Mytilus edulis: one gene and its partner. The protein of the gene in region 1 purifies or fractionates together with the protein of each later gene. This does not show direct contact. Links are inferred from orthologs where the notes say so. Each region holds a gene or a part of one and is shown on either strand. Other genes may lie near its edges. The genes, in order: acyl carrier protein-like and LYR motif-containing protein 2-like.

What was found.
Region 2: the proteins of acyl carrier protein-like (region 1) and LYR motif-containing protein 2-like purify together in Homo sapiens (affinity purification with mass spectrometry; 3 studies listed by BioGRID and IntAct, counting the BioPlex papers as one, with this or other methods). This does not show direct contact. The link is inferred for Mytilus edulis from reciprocal best matches to the Homo sapiens genes NDUFAB1 and LYRM2.

The regions. Positions count from the first base shown.
Region 1 is NC_092352.1:77,014,184-77,024,052, forward strand, and holds the start of acyl carrier protein-like, read left to right. Parts: upstream 1-5,425; 5' UTR 5,426-5,466; coding exon 5,467-5,622; intron 5,623-9,869. Other genes in the region: uncharacterized protein, read left to right, coding at 750-915. UniProt on the Homo sapiens protein: Carrier of the growing fatty acid chain in fatty acid biosynthesis.
Region 2 is NC_092353.1:70,004,368-70,014,675, reverse strand, and holds LYR motif-containing protein 2-like, read left to right. Parts: upstream 1-6,475; 5' UTR 6,476-6,542; coding exon 6,543-6,581; intron 6,582-7,851; coding exon 7,852-7,992; intron 7,993-8,496; coding exon 8,497-8,571; 3' UTR 8,572-8,576; intron 8,577-9,502; 3' UTR 9,503-9,681; downstream 9,682-10,308. UniProt on the Homo sapiens protein: Involved in efficient integration of the N-module into mitochondrial respiratory chain complex I.

The DNA of each region.
Region 1 (9,869 bases):
TATAAAATCATTTCAACCGGTCGAATTGAATGACCATTGTAGGGTTCATATCTTAGGGTAAAAATAGTTTCAATCGGTCAACAATCTGAGCAACTATCGGACAATGTATTATATTCGTGTGTTTTTTTTTCATTCTGAGAACAAATACACCTGTTTTCATCACAAAGATAGAACATAGATCTATGTATTTCTAATTTTGAACTCGGGATAGGTAAATAGGTAAATAGGTAAATGGGGCTTTGAACATTGTTAGAAACTGGTAAAAAGACAAGTTTGCACATTTATCATACAAAGGTCGTAAGAATTTTGTTTAAAAACAAACGTTAATGTTGTAGAAAACTATAAAATTAAAATTCCGTGTACTAGAAAAATTCTTACATTGTAACATGGTTGGATTATAATTTAAAAAATGGCATAAACTATAAGACTGCAGCTGAGAGCTGTCCAGTCTGCTCATATAACTGAAATTCGGATTCATATATAAACCATATGTAATAAATAATTGCTCTTTTATAATTTCGGTTCGACTTACGGTAAATGTATCTGGCGGCTTTAACTGTTGGTGTAGATCCTTTTTTTATAAGGTTGATACATATTTGTACTCTTTACTTACATCAGTTGTATTCAAAAGGACATATAAAAGGGGGTATGCTTATTCGAGAAATTTTTTTTCTTACCAATTGATCTATCAAATGATTTGTTTAAATTAGCTTCTAGATTGTATGCGTTTTCTTTTTTTTTCTTTTTAGATTTTCAGTGGCAGACTGTGTATTGGGCTATAATATGTGGTGGGCATCGGAAATGAAAGAAGGAATTCTAATACAGAAGTACCCAGAATTACTGTCCTACTTAGAAAGACTGAAAAATCGTCCAGCATTTCAACAGACATGGAAGAGTTCTAAACCTGTGATGTAATAACTATTCTGAACTCAATTGTACCCAATCCAAGTTCCTGCAGACTATCTTTATCCAATCAATTTTTCAAAGAAGATCATAGAGATTGTCTTGAACTTACAGGCAAAAGTGGCAAACCAGTTGATATGGCGGTTGGGGGGGGGGGGGGTATTCGCAAAGTCATGATGATGGAGTAGAACGTTTTGCTTTTTGCTTTCCGTATTTTTAAGGTGGTATGGGTGTCTTCCTCCATCTTGGATTGTAAAAAACAGAGAATCAAAGGTCCAAATTTTCCATCAAGTTAGCAAAATTTGATGCAGGAATGCAGATGTTTAATGTACATTTTCATTTAAAAGTACCAATTTATAAGAATATAACTTCTAAATATTGATATTTTTGCAAATGTTAATTATTTTTGGTTGTTTTTTTTTTTTTTTTTTTTTTAAATTGGCATTTTAAGGGGAGGTAACTCTAAAAAAGTGCATTTTCTGAAGGATTCTGTATGGAATTTTCCTATTTTGTATTTTAGCCGGAAAAAACGTACGGTGACCCTATCTTTTCTTTTGATATTCTCAAAGCAGTGTCTGAAAGCTATCTTTTCCTGAAGTATTTAACAATTCTATCATTTTGTTTAGTTTCTAATCACAAAATGGTGTTTTTTCCTGTATAATCCATACAAAATGTGTCATTTTGTCCCGTCCTGTAGCTTGAGAAAATGCGCGGTGACCTATCATTTTTATTATATTTTTCAACATGTATCAATAGATATAACGTGTTGGCAAAGTATGAACAAATTCTATCATTTTTATTTAGACTCCCATACCACCTTAAACTTTAGAATCTCTTCAAATGCAATTGTATTACAACAAGCGATTGTTTCTCTGTCTGTGATCTTTAAGACAGTGAATTCAATATAATTAAGTATTATTGGTTATTGGCAAGTGTCGGATGGTCTACTGGAAAATTTGATGACAAAATACCGGTGAAACTGAATTTCGAACATGCTATGAACATGATGAAATAACATTATTCTTTTTGAGAATTTATAATTTATTTGAATAACTTATTCCCATGTGTAAGTGTTGGTCATATGCGTGACTTCTTTGTGTATCTTCTGTTGTCTTTTAAAGTTATCATATTATTTTGTTTTTGTTTACAAACTATATATATATGTATATATATATATTATGCAAGTCATTATTTTTGAAATTGCAATAAAACTATTTTGTTCTTGATATATTTGTTGTGTGATAAAATATGTCAAAAATATGGCTATTAAAATGACCCATAAGTTAATCCTAAAAACATCGTATACATGTAGTCATGATAGTGTTCAACATCACTATCAGGTTTCTAGTTCATCTAATTAGTTATTTTCAAGATGATTTCTTGTACCCCCTATTGTGTCTTTAAATAAACTCATGTTTTTGCTAGTTTTCTGTCGTACGTCTCAAAAGGGTATTATAGAAATTACACTAGATATCGAATTAGAAGGTACAATAATACTAGTAATGTTCATGCATATCTGTACAAAAGACCGAGGGTGACATGTTTTTATACATTTCTCAATCCGAAATTGACATTTTTTATTCCACTTCAGAATTTAGTGGTTGCCCGTATCGTTAATTTCGGATATATACAATTCTTAAAATATTTTTTGTTTAAGAAAACGATCATTCTTCAATTACTGTATAATGATTTATAAAACATCTGCGATATTTGACAGTCACCCAACGGATATTTTCTAAAAGTCGTAACTACAATCCTTGCCTCTTTTACCCACATGTGACTTATATTATCGAATTAGACGTATTATCGGTGTTGTAATAACATAACAGCAACAGTTTGTTATCGGCTTATGAGTTTGAATGTCCCTTGGGTATATTTTGCCTCTCTTTTGTTTACTTTTTACTAAGTTTATTTATTCGGATTAGTTTATTCATTTTTCTCTTACATGTTAAGAATCTAATCCATAAGCGTTAAAGAATGGATCGGCTCGCTGTCTCATAGCAATTAAAATATTGGAAAGGTAAAAGTGTCACCTGTATATGGTGCATAATATAACTTTCAAACTATGTTCCTTATAATGTGTGTCACACAGAGTCTAACTAATTAAAATAATAAAGATGCATTCATACTCATCAATCGAAAACAAATACAATGACATCATGGCAAAAAAAAACCACGATCAAATCACAAATAACAGTATAAACAATACAAAATAGATTTTGAAATAGATACCAAAGGGGCATTCAAACTCATCAGTCGATAACAAACTGACAAATCCATAGCTTAAAGGAAAAAGACAAATTGATAGATTGGGCAACATGATCCCGATCAAAAATCGGGGGGGGGGGGGGGGGTCTCATGTGCTCCGGAAGGGTGAGCAGATCCTGCCCCACAAGAGACACCCGTCGTGTTACTCTTGGAAAAACGTTGATAAGTCATATCAGGAGATCATAGGCATCACGCAATATATAGTGGAATGGTAGTTGACTCTTACACATGTAACCCTTAGACATCACCAAATTCATATACAATCGGTCAAGTAAATGTTCTAATCCTGAAACTTGGCCGAATGTAAATATTTGAAATAAAAACACGTTCGTCAGGACAAGCGATAGACAAAAATGTTACAATTATAAACAATACAGACATTGAAAAATAGAAGAAAAAAAATGTATAGTAGTCTTTAAATATTGGTTATAGCAAATCCATGGATACTGTGCACTCTCTTAGATTCTTCTCTCGTCCCTTTAGTGCATAGTAGAGAGCGATAGTATTTAAACTTGATGATTGTAATATGTGTGTCCAAATTTCTAGTGTAATAAAATTGAGGATGGAAATGTAGAATATGCCAAAGAGACAACCTCCCGACCATAGAGCAGAAAACAGCAGAAGTCCACCAATGGGTCTACAGGGAGAAAAGTTGCTTCAGTTGGTCCCTAAACAAAAATGTGTACTAGTTAAATGATAAAGAACGTCATACTAAACTCCGAAATATATAAATGAACTTTAATTAAAATTCATACAAGACTAACAAAGGCCATGTAGAAACTTGGGATAGGCGCAAAAATGCGGCGGGGTTAAACTTTTTTTTAATCTCATCAGTCCCACTATACATTAATAATGTATTTATATAACTTTTTAAATTATCATTTAATTAATAAAATATTAGTGTTATTTCCAATGGGCTGGTATATCTGGCACACCTTTTTATATACATTATATAACAAATAACAAAATTTTGTCGATGAATACTAAATAGTTTTATCTTTCGCTTTGTGCGTTATCCTCTGCGTTGTATTGTATTTAACAAAATAAGGATGACCCTAAGCTATCCATCATGCAGATATCAAATGTCGTGAATGTAGGCAGCAATAGAATACTATACGACATTCAACAATGAAAAATAAAATTGACTGAATGAAAATGGAAAATATGTCAAAGAGATAACAACCCTGGACCAAAGAGCAGAAAACAGCTCAATGCCGTGAGAAAATCCCACAACCGGAGGTGGACCTCAGCTGACCCCTCAATAAAAATGTGTACTATTTCAGTGAAAATGAACGTACTAAACACTAAAACATTTAAATGAACAAAATTTGAAAATAACATACAACGGCTTGAGGAATACTTTTGCGTCTTCTCTTTTTTTAACGATGGTCCTGGAAAAGAAAACTGCTGTTTTAACGAAAAATGTTCAATTGTAAAAAAAATATCTCTGATTTTAAACTTCATCCATTAACTTTGATATACATAACTGTTTTGAAATTGGTACATTCAAATTGTCTATCCAACGCACGTGTTTTAAGCATTATATTCGTGTTTCGACTTCTGCTTTTGATAACGATTGATAAGAAAAGAAAATTGCTGTCATAAAAACTATTCAAAAGTAAAAAAAACTCTGACTTAATAGTTATCAAAAGTACCAGGGTTCCAGGATTATCATTTTTAATACGCCAGACGCGCGTTTCGTCTACATAAGACTCATCAGTAACGCTCAGATCAAAATAGTTATAAAGCCAAACAAAAAAGTGCAAAGTTGAAGAGCATTGAGGACCCAAAAGTGGTACCTTGTCAAATGCTTTAGCAAAGTCTAGCAGGATGATGTCTACTTGGCCGCAGCTTTTTCATTTTGATGCAATGTCGTTGATGGTTACGATTAGTTGGGATTCGCATGGTCGTCTTTTGCGGAATCCGTGTTGTGCATCAGCAGAGACATATAATACATTGTATTATATGTCTCTGGCATCAGTTAGTATTTTATTTTTGTCTGATATTTTGTCTTAACTTGTCTGATATTTTGTCTTAACTTTTTGACTAATCATTATCAAATTCTCATTAAAAATAAATCATGTTTATGAAAAAAAAAATATATGTTGGAAGAAATCAATATTCGATTTTATAACTGGAAATGTCATCAACGACCTTAATAATTTTATTTTAATTACGTTATTGTGCGTTGTCAACTTCAAATTTAGTACGGTTATCAACTATCTCTTTTCCGGAAATTACACAAGCGTGCACCATCTATGTTTTGCCATTTAAATAAGGTGAAGGTCACTAAAAATGGCAACTGTTGTGAGGAACGTGCGAGCTCTGTTTAAATTTCACCCAACAGTTCTTAGACGATCGATTTGTAGATTTAGTGCAGTGTCATATGTACATAATAGACATCAAACAAATGAACTATGTTGCTTGAATTCTCACAAACTTCTATCCAAGGTAGATATCTGAGTTTTCGGCCTACACTTTTTTGAAGGACACAAGCATGATCTGTAGAAAAATCATGTGTTTTTGAGTACTTCAGCTAAATATTATTGTTTCTTTTTGTACAAAAAATATTCTGCAAATAACATGTAAGGATCACCAACAAAAGACCATTTCATTATCATAGTTTGCAAATATGAATATTGATATAATCAAATAATCCTTCAAACATGTCAAACATTTTCAAAAGGACAATGAAAAAAGTAGCAAAACAGCCCCTGCAAATATATTTTCCAGTATTTCTTAACACAATGAGGATTAAAAGAATTTGGATCACAACATGCAAGGTGTTTTTTACTGTCAACGTTTTTAAATTTTTCAAACTTTTATCCATCATTCCATGCAGATTCCTATTCAGTGGCTGAGTGGTCAAAATAGTTACTACAGTAGACTCCACCTAATCGGATATCGGCTAAACGAATATATCGGCTATTGTAATATTATTTCAAAACACCGAACCATTCCCTATACATTTCAGTCAAAATACATCGGATAATCAAATATCGGTTATTAGAATATATCGGCTAATTGGATAGGAATATTCATGAAAAATGTGTGAAAACCATGTACAATCGAATATTTTGAAATAATTTCATATTTTTCTCGAGAAGAAATGAAGCCGGAAGTTGTGCCATTACGAAGTTTAAGAAAACTTCAGTACAGAAATGTTTCATTTTATTAATAAAACGATCTTTTATAGTCAAATAAAACCTGTTTCTTCTTGTTTTCTTGTTTATTTTATGAATCTGATATTAATTTTGCCTAAGATGTGTTTGTTATGTGTTTATCCAAATGTGATCGTTATCATTTACTTCACAAACAAGGACACGACAGAAATAATAAACTGTGCGTGATGTTCATCAATATTTATTAAATATGAATGAAAAGTACCTCTTTCTCAACAATTTATTAAAATATATATAAAAGTCCCGTGTAAAAATAAGGAATCGTGTGTCAATAGCATATCCCAGGTGAAATAGAATTATGTATGTACACATGTACGCCATTTTCCTAATTTACATAATATTCAGCCTTTTATTTTGAACCACGACAGATAAGATAGAAAAGTAAATTAATTTTACTCATCTTGATGTCCAATTTTATAATCATAAAAGTAGTTGTATTACTTAAAATTGGAAATGTGTTTCATAAATAAAAAACTGTAGAAAATTAGATCCGAGTTGGATCAACTTCTTAAGCTATTAATAGATTTACCTGTGGCCTACTTCCGAGAATTCATAGTTATTTTTAGCTTTTACCTGTTTTAACACACAAATGAAACAAATCACGCAAAAACAACAAGTCTCATTATTTAAGAGGTACATATTTTATTCAGATAATTAAAGGGAAACTTCGCAAAAAAATCAAAAATTGATATTATGTCCATTCTGTATAAAAATGCTCAAATTTATAGATATTAAAGTTTTATTCCGTTAAATAAGAGATCACCATCGATTTTAAATTTTGAGTATCAGTTCTCTACTCTCCGCCATCTTGTCACCTTCTCCGATGAAAAATCCCGATATGTCAATAAACCACAAAGGAACAAAACTACAGTAAACGATGTAGTCGTAATTGCGTGTCGATATCTTGTCAATCGTACGGTTGTTTTATCTGACTGACTAACTTGATACGGAAAATGGTTATATATTTTTAAATAACCATATAGTCTGTTATTTTTAAACTGATAATATTGTAATTAGTTAAAAAGTTCAAATCATAAAATGATAAATAAGTGTTCCGTGGAAATTGTTTTCGAAAATCTAATTCGTTCATAATTCTTTCAAGTAATAAACTTTATTTAAATAAATTCGGATCTTCCCTTATCTGATCACCAGCATGGCTAAAGGTATTACTCCCAAAGGTATTGGAAGGGGTGTAAGGTGACACGTCCAGGTATTCAATCGATTTCCTGTCCGGCGGGCTTGCAAGTTCATGCATCGTTTCACTTCTGTAGGTATTGATCAGTGTACACGACCGTTACTTATAACTTTCCATTTTGAACTATCAGGTGCATGTATAATATACATTTTTGTCTTGCGTGTCCGAAAGTGATATAATATACTAGTCATTACTGAACTCATACGCTTGTTTATAAATAACATTTCTGGTGTAAAGAATATTATTTATAAAAAAAAAATAATACAAAAAAAAATAATTGAAGAAATACAAATCTATTTACATATTTTTCCAAGGGTTAATTTGGGAAAATGTAATATATACTCGTTGTCAATAGTTTAGGACAGATTGGAACATTACAGAATTATTGATCTAAAAAAATGTGCGCACTTGTCGACGATTCGTGTATACATACGCCTGGTAGAAAGTTACGGAACTATAGTCAGTAGCGCAATTTAAAATATGTATACATGTATACATTGAACATAAGAAAGAAACATACATTTTGTGTAAATTGTGGTAAAAGTTTTGTAAATAGACTAGTCCATGTATGCCAACAGTATGTAATCAACGAATTCGATAGACTATTGTATACCAAAAGAAGAAGAAGAAAAAAAAGAAACAATTTCATTTAATTACAGGTCAATTTATAACTTGCTTTGGTTCATCGAAGTTAAGAACATAGTAAACTCACAGATTTATATATCAATTAAATTGTTCTCGAATAAAGGACGAAATTCGTCATCATCACAATTGTTCCAACATTCATGTAAAACATATGCAACTGGACGTACACTAATAATCCCCAAGGAATGTGAATATTTTCTAGGAAAACTATTGAGTATCAATTTCGGGATTTATTTTCTTTCTTGATATTCAATGACAGCAATTTAAAGAATAAACTGCTTGTCGGATATTTGTCCGCTTTAGGGGTATTCTTGCAAGTTGAACAGACTTATAATAACATTCAAAAATAGGGAAAGATAACATTAAATTCGTTGTCTTTTAATTTTAAACATCGTTGATCAAATAGTTATTTAAATATATATATACGTTGGGAGACGACGATTATTATAGTTGTCTCAGATTTTAATAAGGACGTTCCCCATTATGAATAAATTTGGTTGACGTTTATCACACTTGAAAAGAATATCTATTCGTAATTTTTCGATTCCATTACAAACATATTTTTTTCTTTATTCACACATATTATATTCCGCTTCGGTAGAGTTATCTTCAGATAGTTTCATATATTAATTAATACATGGCTTTCAAAAGTCTAAATGTAAGTGTTCTCGTACATTTTTTCGCCTAATAAAGACAAATAAAAATGATTTAGTAAAGCTATTTCTAATTTCTAAGTCCCCCTTTTTTATGAGACATAAATCAAGGACAAGACTTGTATATCATTTCATTCTGACATATGAATTAAGTTTCCCGTCTTTAACCGAAAATTGTGTATTTCTTAGTAAATTAACTTATTTGAATTCAAATAAATAATAGCACCAAATATAATTAAATAATTCCACGGCGACCAATTTTTATTTGTCACCAACTTGAATATGTATTTTTAATGTGTGTATTAAATGCTACCACTGATCCGAATAGACAGTCACACCTGGCAAGGTGTGCCCTAGAGGCGTGGTTAAATACCGAAGTGCAAATAACAATTTACCTTTCAACAAGCCATCTACGAGTATTGCCACAGAACCGTGAATACACACATCGTATAAACCTAGCCATAGCAGAGATAGTAAAAGGTCCATAATAGTACACCAACATATTGTCTTTACAGATTATTGTACTTTAATTTGTTCACCTTATCAGTCCGAAAATGCATTTATTAAAAATAAATTTATAACTTTTTGTGTTGTCTACAAAAATAATTCGAATATATACGTTTAACCAAGGACGTATGTTAGTTATACGTCCTTGGTTTAACATAGATAATTTATCTCACGAATGAGTATGTCTGTGCGTTTTATCTTCTTATTATCGGATGGTTATTAGATAAAGCATAAGTCATCGGCGCGCTTACGATTACGTTAAAATATGATTAAAAACCAAGACTTTTAATGATTGTATTTTAAATCCCGGCATGCAAAAATCAGGAGAAAACGTCACGACCTACAGGAAGTAGTTGATATTTTTTCATTAATTATTGAATTTCTCCTTTATTACTGCACATATAGCGATAAAACTTTGTGAATATATATATTATGTCATAATGAACATATTTAAACCATAAGTAAAAAATCGTGAATTTTCCCTTTAACACATAATTAAAAAATCAACAGACTGAG
Region 2 (10,308 bases), on another chromosome or scaffold:
AGTGGAAGTTCGCAGACCTCGGACAACCGCTAATTGAACCCCTGCCTCCAAATTGAAAAGATACAAACATTTCGTCTTATAATTTAAATTTGCCGCCAACAGTGGAACTTATTTTAAGACTACTGACGTAGTTGACTACTTATTGACGACACACAATATTCCTTCGATTTTTTGCCATTTGGGAAATCTAAACTACTTGTCTTTAGAAATTTTCGGCGATTAAACATTTCATACATTTGTTCTTTGACAGCTTAGCCAAAATCTCAGGGGATAATAAACTACCGTGATAAAGATTCCTAAGGTGCCCTACTTCCTAAGTGCAAATTCAAAACTTTTGGATAAATCGACGATCATTTAAGGTTTTTCTGATCATATTTAATTTTTGTGATCAAGAAATAAAAGTATGAAAAAACTGTCCAATTAGTTATGAATAACATAACATCCAGCTAGATAATAACAATGACACATATTTCAGCATTTGAACACAAATCTAGGGTGCTCTCCTTATCTGCGCATAAGGCAGCTTAAGTTATAACTGCCTAAAAATACAAACCCACCAATAAACAGCAACAATAACAGGCTCCTGCATTACGACAGGCACATACATGTATAAACTGCGGAGAAATCGCCACAGTGGTGTTATATAGTACAACACAAGAACAAACTATAACAATCAGTTGAAAAGTGCTCAACTCATCGGATCGACGAAAAGCTAAAAAAAAAAAATAACCAAACGCAGACTAGACGTGGCAGAGTATTTATACATTTCACACTTGTATAAATTACAACTGTCTTTTACATATTGAATAATAACTCACCTTGATAAAAGAGAAAAATGGATATCTGTTCCCGAAAAAATATTTCCATCCAGTCATTATGAATATTTTTATTGTTGGAATTAGAAATTTAAATTCCTTCATTGAGAAAGGTTTATTTTACAACTGGTGGTGGACATGGATTTTTTCACACCTGTTTCTGAGGGGGAGGACAGGGGTAAGGGAGACAGGGAGAAAGGGGGTAGGAGAAAGGAGAAAGGGGTAGGAGAAAGGAGAGGAAGGCTGGGAGAAAGGAGAAAGTGTGTAGGAGAAAGGAGAGGAAGGCTGGGAGAAAGGAGAAAAAATAAAATATCTCTCCTTTAAAAAAATTTCTAATATTTCAAGAAAAAATATCCCAAAAGAAGATGTTTTATTCTAATGGGAGAAAGGAGAAGAGGGGTGGGAGAAGGGAGAAGGGTACCCCCTGTCCTCCCCTTCGTTTCTTAGCTCTGTTTGTAGGCGAGAAAAATGTCTGAAAAAATGTAAAAACTCAAATCTATTTATTTTTCCAGCTAAAATCTGTAAAATTAATAATATTGCTTAAATGTTTTAAAATATCTTTTTTTATGTAACAAAAAAGACGCAAAAGTACAAAACTGAGAATACCCCAAATTACTGACAACTAGCTGAAAGCCAATAATAACTAATAAAAAACCATGCATCTAAGACTAAAATATCAATCAGTACACATTTAATATCCAATGAATTTGGTGTAAAAACGTCATTAACAGTCAGAGAAAATTCTTTCTTTTGGTTATAAGTGTTCATGTTCATTTGAGAAAAATGAACAAAATATAAAGTTAATGATATCACAGTGGCACCCATAACAACTATGTTTTGTCAATAACTTGGTTTATATCAGGTTAATTAGTGTAAATGTGTATTCATGTGGTTTTTTGTTCAAATGTACTTTAATCATTCTAATCATTTTCTGTGCTTTATTTTGTAATTCATTTGATTATATAGCTCAAATTTTGGGCACCATGATTGGTTAATAAAATTATCTATCTATCTATCTATCTTGCACTATATAAAATCTTATGGAAGTTTAATGTCTACTGTGATTTTTATAAAGTTTACGATATTGGATGTTCTCTAACATGTTGGTAATCTAGTGATTTAACCTTATGGAATGTACTTTATACATGAAAAGTATGACCACAAGGCGACGTCCCTAGATGAATGTAATGGTTTTGTCAGTTTTTGTGGGGTAAGGCCTTCGCCAATAAGTGCGATTTCTTTGCAACAATTTATATTTTAAATGTATTTTCAAAGTTCAAGAGAACATCTATCTGGTGATACAGAATTTGAATGTAAAAAATAAGGTTAGTCATAGCTAGTGCATCTGCGGTATGGTGGCCGTTCGTTGCTGTATTATTAGATATTACAGCATTTTCATGGTATATTGAAGAATTAACATTTCTTCTGTAAATCTCTGTAAAAAAATTAATATTGTGGTCATCCCAGTCAGAGTGAGACCCTCCTAAAGTCCCGTATACCTTCCCTACTGCCAATGTTTTTGGAATTGCATACCAAGCATACATATGTCATGTATGTATCATTGATTTATACAATATCTTAAATATGACCCATGCTTATGCATGTTATAAGCGCTATATAAATCTATATCATTCCTCATAATTTAAGGATTTTAGTTTAAGATTTTTCAAAGGCGAACATTTGGCCATCAACAAAGTGAAATTCTAGAAAGTATATTTATTCAATATGATATGTAGATCATACCCCAAATCAAATGTAATGTATTTTAATATAGGATGTCATTGAAAAGGGGAGTCATTTTTTTTAATGTATTTTAATATAGGATGTCATTGAAAAGGGGAGTCATTTTCTTTTTATAAAATCTCGCAAAAATTATGACCCATAGTTTTGCCCCCCCCCCCCCCCCCCCCCCAAATACGTTTAATATTATTCAAAATTATTTTTAACCAGATGCTCCGCAGGGCGTAGCTTTATACGACCGCAGAGGTTGAACCCTGAACGGTTGGGGCAAGTATGGACACAACATTCAAGCTGGATTCAGCTCTAAATTTGGATTGTGATTAAATAGTTGACACAGCATAGGTTTCTGACACAGAATGAATGTGTTCTAATGAACTTAAAATTTTTGTTTTCTCTTAGAGCAATTCACTATGCTGTTGAATATTAATCCTCTAAAAAAAAGGTTTGAAGAAATTTTCTTTTTTATTTATGAAATTTCAAATGAGAAAAATTGAACCCAATTTTTTTAATCACATCCCCCTTTCCCTTATTCCAAAACTAATCTCAATTAAAATTTCTAATGGAGTTTGCAACAATAACTACTCATTTAAATACATCATAAAATATTAAGATGTAAAAAAACTGCTTGTTATCACTGAATGGTAAAGATTATTTTAATTTATCAGTTGGTAGTAAAAAGTGAATATACATTGTATATTGTATATAACAAAGATTTAAGTTGATTCTGGACAAAGAAAGATAACTCCAATTAAAAAAAAATCTTGCTATTGCACAATATTTTGCAATTAGATATTTCTTGCTTACTATTCTGAACAAAGAAAGATAACTCTAATTAAAAAAAAATTTGCTGTTTCACAATATTGTGCAATTAGATATTTCTTGCCATAGCGCAATACTGTGCAATTGAAAAGACTTGCTATTGCACAATACTTAATATAATAATTTTAGATCCTGATTTGGACCAACTTGAAAACTGGGCTCATAATAAAAAATCTAAGTACATTTTTGGATTCAGCATATCAAAGAACCCCAAGATTTCTATTTTTGTTAAAATCAGACTAAGTTTAATTTTGGACCCTTTGGACTTTAGTGTAGACCAATTTGAAAACAGGACCAAAAATGAAGAATATACATACACAGTTAGATTTGGTATATCAAAGAACCCCATTTATTCAATTTTTGATGAAATCAAACAAAGTTTAATTTTGGACCCCGATTTGGACCAACTTGAAAACTGGGCCAATAATCAAGAATCTAAGTACATTTTTAGATTCAGCATATCAAAGAACCTAACTGATTCATTTTTTGTCAAAATCAAACTAAGTTTAATTTTGGACCCTTTGGACCTTAATGTAGACCAATTTGAAAACGGGACCAAAAGTTAAGAATCTACATACACAGTCATGACAGTTAGATTCGGCATATCAAAGAACCCCAATTATTCAATTTTGATGAAATCAAACAAAGTTTAATTTTGGACCCTTTGGGCCCCTTATTCTGTTGGGACCAAAACTCCCAAAATCAATACCAACCTTCCTTTTATGGTCATAAACCTTGTGTTTAAATTTCATAGATTTCTATTTACTTATACTAACGTTATGGTGCGAAAACCAAGAAAAATGCTTATTTGGGTCCCTTTTTGGCCCCTAATTCCTAAACTGTTGGGACATTAACTCCCAAAATCAATACCAACCTTCCTTTTGTAGTCATTAACATTGTGTTTAAATTTCATTGATTTCTATTTACTTAAACTAAAGTTATTGTGCGAAAACCAAGAATAATGCTTATTTGGGCCCTTTTTTGGCCCCTAATTCCTAAACTGTTGAAACCAAAACTCCCAAAATCAATCCCAACCGTTATTTTGTGGTCATAAACCTTGTGTCAAAATTTAATAGATTTCTATTAACTTAAACTAAAGTTATAGTGCGAAAACCAAGAAAATGCTTATTTGGGCCCTTTTTGGCCCCTAATTCCTAAAATGTTGGGACCAAAACTCCCAAAATCAATACCAACCTTCCTTTTGTGGTCATAAACCTTGTGTTAAAATTTCATAGATTTCCATTCACTTTTACTAAAGTTAGAGTGCGAAAACTAAAAGTATTCGGACGACGACGACGACGACGACGACGATGACGATGACGACGACGACGCCAACGTGATAGCAATATACGACGAAAATTTTTTCAAATTTTGCGGTCGTATAAAAATGATATAACTTAGCAGGAAGTAGAATTGATATAAAAATGAGATCAAAGTTCTCAATAAACATAAAGTTAACCGTTGGTTCAAAAGTAAATTTCAACAATTTCTATTTCTACAAATTTCGGATTAAACCTTACCGGATCACGTCTCTACGTAATGACGTGTATCAACAGCTTGCTTCTGTAATCATGGTAATACTGCGATGCCAAGTTGGACAAACATTTGAGAGGTTGAGGCATGTTCTAGATACGGAATAGATTTGTCTCCCTTGCAACATTTAATTACTTAGTATATATATATTGTTGACATTTTAAGAGAGTATATAACAATGTATATATTTAAAAAAAAAAAAAGAAAGAAAAAAACGTCTAGAAAATTACCATAATTTTAACAACATATATATATAATGCATGAATGAATGATAACATTTATTCATATGAAGTGGATGGATGCAGCTGGGAGTTGAACCACAGGCGCTTGGGTCTAGGATACAGATTTTTTTTTTTTTTTTTTTATTAAAATATTCAATTTTCTATATTTATAATACATATCTATCACTTCTGTGCATGTCTCACCTAGTTTCGAGTGATTTAAACGACCCAGAGAAAATACCCAATTTTACTATCCATACTAAGAAACAAAGTATGGATAGTAAAATTGGGTATTTTCTCTGGGTCGTTTAAATCACTCGAAACTAGGCGAGACATGCACAGAAGTGATAGATATGTATAACGAATTAGGAAGACTGCCTATTGAATGTCCTATAAAAACCCAAACTATTATGTATTTAGCAAGGCTTTTCACCTCAAATTTGAATCCCTTATTACATGAATCTTTTCAATTAACTAAAACTTTGGATTCTAGTGGCTCCTATTCATGGTTCACTTTTGCAAAAGATATTCTTTCTGAATCTAACATTGATATAGATAGACTAAAAACCTGTAATAATTTAAAACAATTAAAAAATATTAAAAGCTATATTAAACCCCAAATAAACTCATATTACAACAACCTGTTGATGGATAAGTTGAAATCTATTGATGATAAAAGTAAATTAAATTTTTATAAAGGACTTGAGGCAAATCTATTGATCAAACCTTACCTCTCTAACCCAAACTTTGAATTTAGAAAATTAATTACAAAACTTAGACTCAGTGACCATTCATTATTAATTGAAAAAGGAAGGCATTTTAAAATTCCTCGCGAAGAGAGACTTTGCAAAAAATGCAAAGTACTAGATGATGAGAAACATTTCTTAATAAATTGTTCTCATAATTCAAATATTAGATTTACATATTTTAATTGCATTAACAGAGAAAGTAATTCATTTGCTAATCTCACTGACAATGACAAAGTTATATATATACTTAACCAATCAACACCAACACAAGTGAATAAACTAGGATCCTTTATAAAAAAGTCAATGGAACTGAGGACAGGGGACCCTTTAATATTTACCTGAATTTGTGTATATATATTGAGAGACTTAGTTATTGTCTTTCTTTGTTTTTGTTGTTGTTATATGTCACAAACTGTATAGTTTATATGGCAATAAAACTTTGAATTGAATTATAAATATAGAAAATTGAATATTTTAATAATAAAAAAAAAATCTGTATCCTAGACCCAAGCGCCTGTGAGTTGAACATTGCAAGAACGATTATTTAAATACAGACAGTCACAGCATTTCGTTTACTTGATTTACCATAAAAATAAATCGAGTTATCTCCCATCTAACAACGATTTTTAAAACAAACATTTTATGGCTAGTGGATTCAATTTAAAATGGCATCACAAGCACCTCACATGATGTCTTTAACAAAGGTATAGTATGTTAATAGATATAATGTGATTGTTTTTGGATAAGTGTGCACTGTTTTATCGTGTAAAAACAAGTGACTGAACGGTAGACGCAAGATGAGAAATAGTCTCAAAGGGAGTTAATTCATAGTATTTAGCTTAGATGTTGTTAAGGCCATAGAAATAAATATGTGTTGTTATTTTTAGATTTTTTTTTTTAGTTATTGTTACTTTACGTTCAGGGAAAAATATTTTAAAGTACAAACAATGTACTATTCCCTAGTCAAAATAAGTATAACGTCTTGAAAGGATATATGTATACCATGTATACGTTTTTGCTTTTAGCCATACAACAAGTCGCTGTAGCAAATAAGTATAATTATTTTGACTATATAACTATCCCCTTTTAAATAACTTAATTGTACTTTATTCTGCAATAAACCAACTGTTGTACAAATAGCACCGAGAACCACCTGGGAGTACTAGTACACATCGGGTGTTCTGTTTTACTTGTACTTCTACAATTTTAAAGTCTTCTGTTCTGAGCAAACGTTTGTGTGACAGTTGATTTTGGGGGTCCTGTCCTCTTCCTGGTCTGCGTTTAAACTACAAATGAACTAGATATTCCGATTTCTAAAATGAGAAATAAGAAATAACTATTTAGATTTAAACAACTAAACCTTAAAGTGCCGCTTCTAAATTTCATAAACAAATGCATTGTAGGAAATTAAAAGGTATGTGTTATGCGAGCCTCTCTTTTCGTCTGCATGGTTTCTAAAGCTCATTCACCTAAATTTTTATAGTTTCCTACAATGCACAATTTTGCTTTCATCCTGCAATTACAAGCGAAATGAATTGGAAAACAAATAAGATGCACGGGAAATATTCCCATATGATTAATATTTTCAAAATTTGAAACTACATTAGTTGATGATGACAAAATAGAGGGCAAGTTTGGTATAAATTTACGATTTTCACATTTACCGCCCTGAAAAGGTAAGACAATCACACACAACGTGCAGTAAGCTATGAACCGTTCAACAAATATATGCCGCCAAATTTTAATATGCTGTTACTGATGACAAAATAGTTGTCCAATTTAACGATTTTCACTTTCTGGAGTTAAGGGTTACTATGATCTTTGATAGATTGGAAGAAAGTACCGGTATACACTGACAAATAATAAGTTGCATGGTATGAAAATTTATATGTAAAACTTATAAATATTATATAACATTTGTATAAATGAACAAAGCAACCAAAACTGTAAATTTTTTTGAATGCTATTTTCTAGTTTATGCTGAGGTCAGAAGTTTTAAAATTGTATAGAAGTATGTTGAGAGTTGTTCGGAGAATTCCAGATAAAAGTCAACAGAAGGAACTTATAGAATGGATTAGACATGATTTTACTGCTAACAAACACTTAGAAGATGAGGTAGGATTTAGATTCTGTCTTCGGTGATAGGTGATTGGACTTGTTCTTTGATCTTTATGTCATTATGCTGTCATTTATAAATAAGTGCACCAAGTCTTCTTTGTCCCCTTTATTCTCGATCTTTAGCCTTTTATTCTCTTTTCTACATAAAACCTTGCGAAATTATCCCTACCTCATTAAGGTAACCCCCCCCCTTCCACCACCACCCCTGGCATGGCACCGATATCAATACATGAAATTTTTCTTTGTTTTAAATTTCAAGAATTTATCGAATATTGATGCCTTTCAGAAGTTTTCCCGTGTGCCAATTACATTTTGTCACCATTTAGCATGATCGAGACATAGTTTGCATTCATTTACAGCTTTGTGCGAATTTGAGGGAAAGAGTTTTGAAAGTCTCTTTGGTACCTACAGCCTCTTTTTGGGCAATGTAAGTTATATTTTCTGTGAAAATTTTAAAATTATGATTAAATTAAAAATACCAAACATTTTGTTCTGTTGTAGGATGCTATTAAAATGATGATAACAAAAGGAAAACAGTCTATGAGAGAACTGGAGCAGTCCATATCTATTTTATGAAAATGGTAAGCTTAACTCACACCTTTGTGAAAATTGAATATACCATAAGTACCAATTCCCCTCAATGTGTATTTCCCGGCAAGAACATTGAGAATGTGGACAGGCAATGTGTCAAAGATACACCAACCGATCAAATGGCAGCAAACTTGTATTGTTTACCAGCACCAATTTTTAACTATAGTAACATTGTTATAATAGTCAGATTACGTCAAATTTTAACATTTTATCATTATTTCCGATAAAATTGGTTATAAGTGATGCCACCAAAGCTTAATTCCTGTCAAAATTTATTTCAGAAGGAAAGCGCATAATAAATAACTTGTAAACATTTTGACTTTAGAAATGATGAAAACTCTCATTAAGTGCTTCTTTAATTTTGAAATCCCACGAGGTTATGAATGCTGAGCCTCATTGATAGAACATAGAGAACAGTGTTATACACGAGGGTAGTAATGGGGGTACCTACATGACGAATAACGGTAAAAAATCTTGCAAAATGACGTTAACGGTATTTTTAGGTGCGTGACGATAAAATATGCACTTTCTTTTAGAGGATAATTTTTTTTGACGAATCACGTTAATTTTTTTCCAAAAATAACGGTAACGATAATTATTTGACACCTCTGACGAATCACGATAAGGATATTTTGACGAATCACGGTAAAATTTAAATCAATTTGACGCTAACGGTACCCGAAAATGGCCGTTTGACGCCTGACGGTAAAAGGCATTACTACCCTCATACATATGGAATCAAATTGCCCTTTTCTGAATTCTTATAAATACAAATTGTCACTGAATTTAAGGAAGCATACAATGGACTTTTATTGTATTGTTCAGAACAAAGATTATATAAAAAAGAAAATAAAAGTTCTGCTTCATTTGATAAAATATATTACTATTAAAATAGATGTATACACTTTTTTTGTAGGATTACATTTCAATGACTGACACAGGAAGTTGAAACTAGGGTTTAGCCCTGTGGTGCTGACATGAATGGTGGACCCTTTCGTTGTGGAATAAATGTAGACCTTTTAGGTCACATTTCTATTCGCTGGAAAACTCATTTAATTGAATGTGAAAAAGAAATAAAGAATATTGTTTAACTTTTCCCTTTTGCTGTGTTTTTTAAGCTCACCTGGCCCGAAGGGCCAAGTGAGCTTTTCCCATCACTTTGCGTCCGTCGTCCGTCGTCGTCCGTCGTCGTCGTTAACTTTTACAAAAATCTTCTCCTCTGAAACTACTGGGCCAAATTAAACCAAACTTGGCCACAATCATCATTTGGGTATCTAGTTTAAAAAATGTGTCCGGTGACCCGGCTTACCAACCAAGATGGCCTCCATGGCTAAAAATAGAACATAGGGGTAAAATGCAGTTTTTGGCTTATAACTCAAAAACCAAAGCATTTAGAGCAAATCTGACATGGGGTAAAATTGTTTATCAGGTGAAGATCTATCTGCCCTGATATTTTCAGATGAATCGGACAACCCGTTGTTGGGTTGCTGCGCCTGAATTGGTAATTTTAAGGAAATTTTGCTGTTTTTTATACGACCGCAAAAATTTTAATTTTTCGTCGTATATTGCTATCACGTTGGCGTCTGCGTCGTCGTCGTCGTCGTCGTCGTCGTCCGAATACTTTTAGTTTTCGCACTCTAACTTTAGTAAAAGTGAATAGAAATCTATGAAATTTTAACACAAGGTTTATGACCACAAAAGGAAGGTTGGGATTGATTTTGG